Linked DNA regions of Zea mays. The protein of the gene in region 1 interacts with the protein of each later gene in a pairwise test. Links are inferred from orthologs where the notes say so. Each region holds a gene or a part of one and is shown on either strand. Other genes may lie near its edges.

Evidence for each region.
Region 2: the proteins of Trihelix transcription factor GT-3a (region 1) and WUSCHEL-related homeobox 4-like interact in binary tests that used the Arabidopsis thaliana proteins (3 or more experiments, as listed by UniProt). The link is inferred for Zea mays from reciprocal best matches to the Arabidopsis thaliana genes AT5G01380 and WOX4.

What each region holds. Positions count from the first base shown.
Region 1 is NC_050105.1:143,199,113-143,204,925, reverse strand, and holds Trihelix transcription factor GT-3a, read left to right. Parts: upstream 1-1,934; 5' UTR 1,935-2,080; coding exon 2,081-2,320; intron 2,321-3,990; coding exon 3,991-4,566; 3' UTR 4,567-4,832; downstream 4,833-5,813. Other genes in the region: putative putrescine-binding domain family protein, read left to right, coding at 5,128-5,586, 5,747-5,813. UniProt on the Arabidopsis thaliana protein: Probable transcription factor that binds specifically to the core DNA sequence 5'-GTTAC-3'.
Region 2 is NC_050105.1:147,565,391-147,570,461, forward strand, and holds WUSCHEL-related homeobox 4-like, read right to left. Parts: upstream 3,076-5,071; 5' UTR 2,696-3,075; coding exon 2,435-2,695; intron 2,308-2,434; coding exon 2,008-2,307; intron 1,886-2,007; coding exon 1,694-1,885; 3' UTR 1,533-1,693; downstream 1-1,532. UniProt on the Arabidopsis thaliana protein: Promotes differentiation and/or maintenance of the vascular procambium, the initial cells of the developing vasculature.

The DNA.
Region 1 (5,813 bases):
GTGGTCGGCAAAGGGAGGATTAGGGTTGAAAGAGACCCGACTCTTTGTGGGCGCCTCAACGAGGAAGTAGGGCACCTTAGTGGTGTGACCGAACCTCGGGATAAATCTTGTGTCTCTTGTGTTCTTGCTCATTGTGTGTTTGTGTTCTTCGTTCTCTCACCATTGCGTGGAAGATTTGTTTATATCTTTTTGGTGTGTGGATTTTGAGAAGTGCCCTTCTCAGATCTACTACTTTGAACCCTGTGGATCATTTAGAACATCTCATTTCCAAAGTTAACTGGGTGAATTTTGAGATCAATTCAGTTTTACCCAGTTTGCTTCTAGTTTTTGTTGAAAAAGTTTTAACTTGCCTATTCACCCCCCCTCTAGGCAACTTTCAAAAAGAGAGGTCTACGGCTGATTTGTAATCATCAATCGAATCAATACAACTTCTATTCGCATTTATTTCCAGTACAATTAGGAGTAGTTCTAGTCTAGTTCTAGTTTAGCCTCTCGATCCCCAAATTCTTCGCCTCTCTTCGACTCTATGCCGATTAGAGGAGTCTAGGTCGGCCGACCCGAGCCTAGACAACACCTAGGATCTCTTCTCCCCGACGGGGTCCCTCCCGGGAGCGAGATCCAGGCGCCGCCGGCGATCTTCCGCTGCCCCTGCGCACGCGCGGACCGTCCGGCCCCAGGGCGCGGACCGTCCGGCCGTCAGGCAGGAAACCCTAGCCCCTGCGCCAGGTCGCGGACTATCCGGCCCCAGGCCGCGGACCGTTCGCGCCTGACTAGAGACCACCGCCGTCGGTTCTTCTTGAGTATTTGGCGCTCCGAAAAGGCGTCAACAGACTGGAAGCTCCAACTTCCCCAGCCTGTAGAAAGCACCATGTGCCTCTCTACAGAAGCCACCGCGTGATGACCAGCTTCATCCGGCAGGGTTGGTAGTGGGTACAGTAGCAAGCTAGCCTAGTCTAATATAAGAACAAATTTATATTGTCCATCCCATATTGTCTTGAATGGGATTTTCTTTTTTGAAACCAGTGAAATTTCAGCTCTTGCTGTCGTGCAAATTTGTACCCATTGGCCATGGTTGAACTTCCAATAGCTGTTGCTGATCTGGGCCCAGCATTGTTGTTTCTTGGGAGTGCATTAGGTCATTCTTAGTGATAGTTTTATCACACCATTTTCAATGTTATCAGTCAATAAGAGTAAGATGAAAAATAGAATAAAATATGTTTTCTCAGTAAAGAGTTTCATAAAATAATTTTATAGACTAACGTGTGATTAAAATTTAAATGTTACATCTAAACAGTCAATAGATTTAGATGAAAAATATGCAGATGAAATAAGTTAGTCTTAATGGTAGTTTCAAACGCTTTTTAATACCTTGGAAATGAGTTGATATAGTTTTATATTGATGAAACTAGTTTCACCTATTTCATAATAAATATAGTGTACTAATTCATTTATGAAATTTATAATGAAACTTCTATTAAGACGGACTCCAGCAAATTACCTAAAATTTACCCTTATAAACTGTTTTGTACGGTAGAGTGCACTGCTTGTAAAATAGGGTTTGAATATAAGTATAGGGATTGGTAAGCTGATAGAAATAGTCTAAGAGTGATCTTAGAGTATACATGCTTTGTTTTGACAGGGAATATTATCTCGTTATCTTGGGCGGCACCGGGCCCGGACCCGGTAGGGTCTAGTCCAGCTAAAAGCCCACTTGCATTAATGAACAACGTCAATTTCCCCCTTTTCCCCTATGAAAAAGAGTAGAAAAGAAATCAAAATGGATGCAGGGAGACAGCTAGTGTGAATGCGGCAGGCCCCGTTCTCTGAGACCGAGCTGTGTGAATGGGCAGAAAAGTAATGGCAGGCAGAGGCAGGCAGAGGCGAGAAGCAAGAAGAAAAACGAGGGGAGCAAGGAAATCGAGGCAAGAAAGCAAGGGCAGAGGCGCAGAGCCTGCAATCTGCTGTCCCCCGTCGCCGCCGCTGCCTCGCCGTTGCAATCGAGGCAAGAAAGTTAGGGAGTGCTGGCGTTGGGCAAGTCGCTCTGGGCCTCTGGGGAGACGGGGGCTGGAGGGGCGGCGAGATGATGGAGGCCGGCGGCGCGGGAGCGGGGGGAAGGGACGAGAGGGTGCCGCAGTGGGGCGTGCAGGAGACACGGGAGCTGATCGTGGCGCGCAGGGAGATGGAGCGGGAGGCCGTCGCGGCGCGCCGCAGCGCCAAGACGATGTGGGAGGCCGTCGCGGCGCGGCTCCGGGAGCGAGGCTACCGACGAACCGCCGAGCAGTGCAAGTGCAAGTGGAAGAACCTCGTCAACCGCTACAAGGCATTCATCCCTCGTCCGGCAGATAACTTTCTACCCTAGTCTCGTAACGCTAGATTGGCCGGTCTGTTCTGGACCACCAGACAACGATGTTCTGCTGTATTGTTCTTGTGTTGATGGCAAAATGATATGCATTGCTGGTTCGTGACTTCGTCTTTAGGCTCAGCGTCCCCAAATTGGTCTTCTATCTTGATAGGTCCACTTTGAGTTGTTTAGGAGTGTGTCCACAACTCCCCTTGTTCACCTTCGCTGCATTATTTGCGCAACCATTTCCATCAGTGAAGGGCATTCAGAAATCTTAGTCTTTATATGTTCATGATAAGTAGAGAAAAGAAAACTGATTTTGCAGAATTTATCCTTGCATTGTGCCACACATGTTGGAACGTAATGCTTTCAATTGCACATTTTGAAGTAGGTGGATAGTAAATTAGTAATGCTAAGATCTATGGATAGTACATACCGCCTCCATTCCAAATGATAATACATTTTGACTTTTCTAAATACATAGCTTTTGTTATGCACTTATTATGTAATTAGGTATACACCGTGTCTAGATACATAGTAAAAGCAAAGTATGTAGAAAAACTAAAATATCTTATAATTTGGAACGGGAGAGTACTGATTAATTTACAGCACATTAGGGTTTTTAAAAACTTTCTTAGTCCAATTGTTGTTTCTGTTTTCAAGTTTTCTTCACAAATTTCACATAGAAGCAATGCTTGCTTTTGTTACTATATTTTGTATGTTTTGGCATTTAAAAAGGTGTATTCCACTTTGTTTTGTTCTGAAATGAAAACATGGCACAAATATTTCTAAGAAACTAGGATAACTTATCTAGTACAGTGAATTATTGCTAGTGATAGAAAGGGGAATCCACCTACCATTATCTTTGTTGATTGTGAGTCTATGATGCATGAAAAGTCAATGTGGAATCTCAAGGGTTTGAGGGGAATTGAGTGGCAAATTGTCCAGAATTGGTGGTTCAGTTAAAGTTAGATTTTCACTTTTTGAGAGCGTGGATTCATTGTGAACCCTAAAGGAGGCTTTCTTCACATTGGTTAGTTTGTCTGAGAAATTGCACTTGAACTGTCTCAGAGTGCGACATCTGTCCTGCACCGGCAAAAAGAGGGAGTGGTGGTAAAATTATGATACTACCTGTTAGGTGTGTGCGAGAGAGAGCATGGATGCGTTGATTAGGTTTATTGAGAGAAAAATGTGCAAAAGCTGTACATTATTGCCGACGTTCCTGCTGACCACAATAGTCATGTAATATTGGTCTTCTGCTGCAATAGTTATAAAAGACTTCGTATTTTGTCCCAATCTCAATGATAACGTCAGGAAATAGATCAATTATATTTTTTTCATCAGGAGCTAATGAAAAATTGGAAGTTCCATGTTAGGTTCAGATTAACTCTGCTGTTGGGTTGGTTGGGTGGTGGGTCCAATTTCAAGCTTTGCATTATAATGTATTCTTCTTTTATGCTCAAGAAAACCCAGTTCCTACTTACAGAGACTGGCCGATTGTTTATTGTTTGGACACATAGTTGGTTCATCTTTGCCTTGTGGTCTGTCCACCTTGTTTGCTTTGTGATTTCAACAAATAGTTAGTACTTTCATTCTTTAGTTTATTGTAAGCACAAGCTCATACGTTATGCATCCTTCCATTTCATCAGGGGAAAGAAACTTCTGATCCAGAAAATGGTAGGCAGTGTCCCTTCTTTGATGAGCTGCATGCCGTCTTCACAGACCGTGCAAGAGATATGCAACGACAACTCCTTGAGTCTGAATCTGGGGCTTCTGTCAAAAGGAAACTGAAGCAACCTGGTGGTGACCGGTCATCTGGGCTGTCTGATGACGAGGGCAATGGTGGTGAAGAAAGTGATGAGGAGAAACCGTTGCCCAGCAGGAAGAGGAAAGCTGACGACAAGAAACAGCAACATCAAAGAATGTCTGGGAAATCAAGAGCAGGATTTTCAAGCATACATGAACTGCTGCAGGATTTCCTTGTGCAACAACAGCACATTGATGTCTGGTGGCGGGAGATGATGGAGAGACGCGCCCAGGAGCGGATTGTTTTTGAACAGCAATGGCGGCAGACAATGCAGAAGCTGGAGCAGGAGAGGTTGCTGTTGGAACACTCGTGGATGGAACGGGAGGAGCAAAGAAGGATGAGAGAAGAAACACGGGCAGAGAAAAGGGATGCACTCCTGACTGCTCTGTTGAACAAACTCCTACAGGAAGATCTATAGCCGGATAAGCTTGCTCTTCATTTCGTCAGGGTATAGTTGCAGTAGTGGACATTGTTTTGTCACCTTGTTTTAGCAATTCTTTGTAGCTGCTACATATATTAACATGTGTTTGTTCAAAGAAAATTGTTTCTTATAGCATTTGTATTAGGTTCCTAGGCATTCTTTTCCAGTTATTTGGTGGAGTAAAAGTTAATTTTATGTTTAATTGTGGTTGTAAGTATCATACTGTCAGGTAAGTATACAGATCAATGCTAATACGCTTTAGCAGTTGGCTCTCTATCAGTAATGGACAGAAGTTCATGTAATCTGCTTGTTCAAAAAAATAAGTTCATGTGGCATCAAAGAAAAGAAGTTCATGTAATGTATGTGTTCGAAGATAAGCTCATGTACAGTCAGATAGATCTTGAGATCAACCACATTTATTCACAGGTTTCAGCAAATGCTTTCAGCTAGCAACCGGCCTTATGCGAGAACAACTGGATAAGCCCATCACCCATCGCCCATCGGCAGCAGAAGGCCACTGCCCGGACGGAGCTTCCGAAAGGGAACCGGGCAGCGGCAATGGAGGGACAGCCGCTCCATCTCCTCATCGCCCAGTTCCACCACCCTTGCCTACGCGGTCTCATCCCCAACTACCCTACCCACTACCTGCCCACCTCCCGCCTCCGACTCCGCGTACAGCGTCGCAAGCCGAAGCAGCTCGCCGCAGTGCCTTCGAGGCGTCCATCGGGCAGCCAAGCCGACGCGCCTGGCCTGGTGCCGGTGCCTAACACGGTGGCGGCGCTGGTGCTCCAGCTGACCGTGTGCTCGCTCCTTTTTCTCTTCCCCAACCGTGCCCGAGCCCTCGCGCTCCCGCCCCCTCCGGGGGCCGCTGCGGTGGTTGAGGCGACGCAGGAGGAGGAGGAGGAGGACCAGGAGTGGGAGGCTGCGCTGCAGAAGTGGAAGACCAAGACCTACGCGCTCTCGGTGCCCCTCCGGGTCGTGGCGCTCCGCGGCTCCTTCCCTCCATCTTGGATTAAGGTCTGGTCGCCTTCATCCACCATAAACAAAGCATGATTGCATAAATTTGTGTGAGCATGGAAGATGTATGGCCAGGGTCGCTGTTCCCTGGAATTCTTTAAAAGAAAAATGAATGGTGGGTGGTGTGCAATTTAGTGAGAATTTTTTTTTGTGTGTGTAGGATTTCGTCGAAGCTCAGGGGAAGAGACTCAAATTCAGTCCTGAGCTCCGTGCTAATCTTGATGGGA
Region 2 (5,071 bases), about 4.4 Mb from region 1:
GTTGTGATATAAGTTTGACAAGGTTTCATGAAAGTTATCATGTAGGATGCTTATTGGTTACCTTTGCTTGTTGGTTTACTCTTCTTAATTGCAGGTGTAAACAAGGTATAGGGAAAATAAAACTACTCAACACTCAATATATGGGTCCCATCAAGTTAACCTAACATGATGAGAATGTAATAGTAAACATTATATATGACAAAACAATGTGACCAAGGACACAATGCACAAAGAGACACAAAATTTAGACTAGTTCAGGCTCTCGTCATGAGATAATACCTTACATCCGATGTTTTGGTGGATATTAATCTGTTGTGTTCGGGTCTGCGCTCTTGGGGCTCCCCGTCCCTCTTTTTATATTCCAAGGAGGAAGCGGTTACAAGGATGAAAACTAGTAGGTTACATGATAGGTCTAATCTGGTAACCTAGTCGTATGAGATTCCAACTCTTTACAATAACAAATGTGCCTTCATTATCCTTTAGAATCATGTCCTATCTACTTAGGACTATGCCTTGTATGTTGGGATTTTTTCATGTTTGTTGAAGGCTCAGACTGGTCTCTCTTATTATAATAATATATTGGTTATATTTGTACTTCTAGAGTTTTCCTCATATTAAACCTCATAATAATCATGAAGATTGGGTTCATGGACTCTATGTAAGAGACGACTCCGATGAGTGGGACCTACGCATCAACCGTTGCGATTGAGAGTCCACGCATGTGAACACTATTCTTAGAAAAACAAACCTATGGATTACGACTTCGGTCCAGTTCGGCTCGAGCATGGGGAAAGTGGACCGCCCACTTGGCCCACACGATCGAAGGAGAGAGGGGAAAGGAGAGAACAGATCCACGAGGTGAGTTATTTTTCTTTCTGTGTTTCCTTTTCAATTTTAATTTTCATTTTTGAATTCAAATTCAAATCAAACAAATTCAAAGTCAAATTTAAATTCATGCAAACAAGAATAAATGCTCAAGCATGCAATGAATAGACAAAATGTAATATTTACCCACTCATTTATCTTAAGAAAAAATATTTTATCTGTAGAATTCACATAAAAGCAACAGTTGAAATAATCTTTTGGAGAAATTTATGTAATTCTGAAAAATAGGAATTTTGGGTGTTACATGGCACAAACCGTATATGGATCGCATTGTGCCTTGTTGAAGCACTATAAACCGTGTCATGTATAGTGGCACCCTATTTAGCATGGCCCACTTGATAGTGATGTCATCAACTTTGGCGCCCAGATATGAGCTAAGTTAAATGAGCTTTTTCAGTGTCGGTTAGTTAGCAACATGACATCACATGTGGTGTTAGTTGGCAACCCGACATCAATCTAACCTTCCCTTGATTTGATTTGTCTCATGGGTGGTGTAGTAGGCTGAACAAATTAAACGAAGTACTATTGAGTCAATGACACTTTTGACCACTCACTGTCACTAGAAGCGTACGTTTGAGCAATCCAAGCATGTCCATTAGTCCACACTATTACCATACAAAGCACACACGTGGATGCAACGCGCCAATGACCAAAGTGTTTAGTGTTCGCACGAACAGCAGCCCGATCCAGGGGAACATGCATGCATGGAACGACCGAGAGGACATAGACATGGATCGGGCATATACTTTACGCATATACGTACGCTTGTCCGCCTTACTTAATTAGTTAGCTAGCTAGCTAGCTAGCTTTATTTCCCCTGATCAGGACGCAGCGGGAAGAGCTCCAGGGTCACATCGTCGTCGGTGTAGTAGTCGTCAGCTACCTCCGTACCGGCATCGTCGCCGCCACCATGGACGACGACATCTTCCCAGGCCCTGCACCTCCGCTTGCGGCTCGATGCATCTTCACACGCTTCTTCTTTTTTCGTCTCCACTCCCTCCTGCATGCATGCATACGTACGTACATATGATGATACTGCTAGCTGTTCACTGCATTTAAATTTATGCATGCAATGCATATATACATAACGCAAGCTGCTGCAATGCATATATAGTTATATACCTTGGTTTCAGCAGCTGGTGGTAGCAGCGTGGAAGCAGTGGTGGTGGTGCTGAGGGTGAGGAGGGCAGCTCGCTTCTGCTTCTGGCGCTCGCGGGCCTTGTGGTTCTGGAACCAGTAGAAGACGTTCTTGCCCTCGATCCGGCCGTACTTGCCGAGCTCCTCCGTGATCTGCTCGATCTGGAACGAGTTGGGCGTGCGCATCCCCCCGCGGTACAGCATCTCCAGCACCCTTATCTGGTCCGGCGACGGGTTCCACCGCGTCGTGCCACCCACCGTCGTCGTCGTCGGCGGCACTTGCACCTGCAGCTTTGATACAATGAAAATTAAGAGATACGTACGTACACCATGCATGCTAGAGATATGTGTTTCTACTACTGTCCTCCTAGCTAGCTAGTACATGGGCTCTCTCTTTGGTTTATAGCCTAACCGTGCAGTTTAGCAGCCTCGAAGAAGCATTCCTGACGCGAGCGAACTCAGGAAGGACGACCATCTTCCTCGCCTCAGGGAAGGAGATCTTGGGCGCAAGCGGGCGTAGACAGTATTGCTGGAGGGCCAGAGGGACGATGGTGGCAGCAGACGACGAGCTGTGACTGTGAGATGCTGGTGAGATGGATGGTGGTGACGACGACGGCGGCGGCGAGCCTGCCGCTTTATCCAAGTAAGCCACATGGAAATGGTGAAGCCTCATGCTAATGAACTCTGTAGATGTAGAGCTACAAAGCTTCAAACTTTGTAGAGCTAGGCGCGCGACCGATGTAGCGGATCGAGCGAGAGAGTGCGTACTATATGTAAAAACGGAAAGCTGAGGGCTAGGGCTATGCTAACGACTACTAGACGAGAAGGGATCGAGCGTCCTCGCGAGTTTATATATGGGGAGACCGGCCGGCCGGCCGGAGACGATCGATCGCTGGAGAAAGAAAGCTAAGAAGGCCGGTGCTGTACGTAGCCGTAGCGAGGGTTTGAGTGTTGTGCGATCGACCGAGACGACCATGCATGTCGAGGTAAAGGCGTGCTCTAGCTAGCTCATGGTCTTGGGGCCGGCGGGCGACAGGGAATGTGGAGATTGCTGATGGATCGGAAGGGCGTCAGCAGCTAGAGCGGTGGTGGTGGTGGTGGTGGTGAATCGCAATCATCAGCGGAGCCACGAAAAGCAGGAGCAGTAATAAAGGTGAAAAGGTAAAATTCTCTCGCATGGAGCTGCCCTCTTTTCACCTTTCCTGTCGAAATTCATGACGATTGACAAGGAATATATGGGGAGAATATATATCGACTCTCTCTCTCTCTCTCCCCGCTCTGTACGTTCGCATGCTGTTAAAGCGGGAGTTTGAATCCAGCCTAGCTACGACCCGGTTAATCTTCACCTAATAACTAGAGTATTCGGAGTGCATGTTACCAGATCACGCGACAGCTAGCTAGCTTTTTCACCTCGCTAATCAAAATGGAGGACGCTTCTCACTACTTCAGTCTTCAGATGTATAGAAAGCTCGTGTCTTCTGTACCTGCAGCTGCAGGTCGGAGTATAGTAAAGTTCATCAGGTAGTACTGTTCTTTTTAAAAAGAGTTTATTCAGCAACCAGAGCAAGTAATTTATTTAGCAACCTTCTAGTCCCTCCATTTTAAATGTGCTAATTAGCCTCGATCTCTTGGTATTGGTATCTTACTTAGGCCCTGTTTGGTTCCTTTAGTCACTAGACTAAAGTTTAGTGACTAAAATTTAGTCGCTGAAGTACCCCGTTTGGTTCGAGTGACTAAACCGGACTAAAGGGCATTAATTGTTGTGACTAATGACTATTTTACCCCTATTAATTAATGGATGTTTGCTATAAGAAGAAAGTGGAGAGGACAAATAAGGTAAAAATACTACTTTAGTCCATTTTAGTCACCCCTTAGTGACTAAAGAACTAAAGTTTAGTCACCCCACTTTAGTCACTATGTTTGCTTCTTTAGAGACTAAAAGTGACTAAACTTTAGTCACTAAACTTTAGTCACCCCAAACCAAACGGGGCCTTACTGTCTACTCTATCTGTATGAATGAATGATATCGTTTTCGTTGGATCGACGACACTCATCTCGCTCCCTTGTCTGTAAACTGGCCTGCACCCCATCTGCATGATTGCGCATCACAAAACCAGATGCGTGAAGGCCAACAAATTAAAGAGACGATGCATGCATATCTCTTGCCACAATCTAATAAGACTGGTTTTGCCATTCCTAGCTATATGTAGCTAGGCACATAGGCCCTGTCAAGATTAGACCATCTAAAAAACCTCTAATATCAGACCATCATCAGTGAGGCTGCAACACGCTAATATATGATTGGAAAAGGCATGCATGCAAACGAGAAAGCGAGAACCAGCATGATGGATGCTGAGGTTGACCTCGGAGTTAGCGCCGCCATCCACCGTTAGACCTACTACTAGCTTGAACAGGATACTGCACAGCTAGCCATGCATATGCATTTTATCTTGTGACCCACAACAAGGTACACCAACTATTCCCTCCGTCCTATAATATAATACATAAACATTTTTTATTCTAGTTCCATAAGAACAAATATAATAGTTGGCTATAAGCCGGCTAAATGCTGATATGGAAGAAAGAATTAAGATGAGGGAGTAGAAGCGAGCTACAAATTAACAACCATCTTTGTGCAAGGTCTGATGCAAGTCCCCGCAAACTGTGCATATATATAAGCCCATTCAATTCCAACGGCTATATGTGTAGTTGGGGCCTATAAATACACACACAACCAACACGTTAAAGACACAAGAGCTAGAGCAAACCTTCATACATTCATCGCAACAACTTTAAGCCATCTAAAGCCTCGCAAGTGCTATATTGAAGAGATTTAAGCTAGAGAAAGTGCCTTGTGTGGGTGATCGTGTTGAGTTGAATGTTGCATTCCTGTGCTCTTGTGCTTGTGTTTCAACTTCCATTCTTTGTGGAGACTAAGGTCCTTCGATTGAGAATAAAGAGAGGGCTTGAACTTATATTTGGAACCGCTCAAGAGGGTTGAAAGAGACCTGTCTTTAGAGACAGCTCAACAGAGACGTAGGTTTCCTTT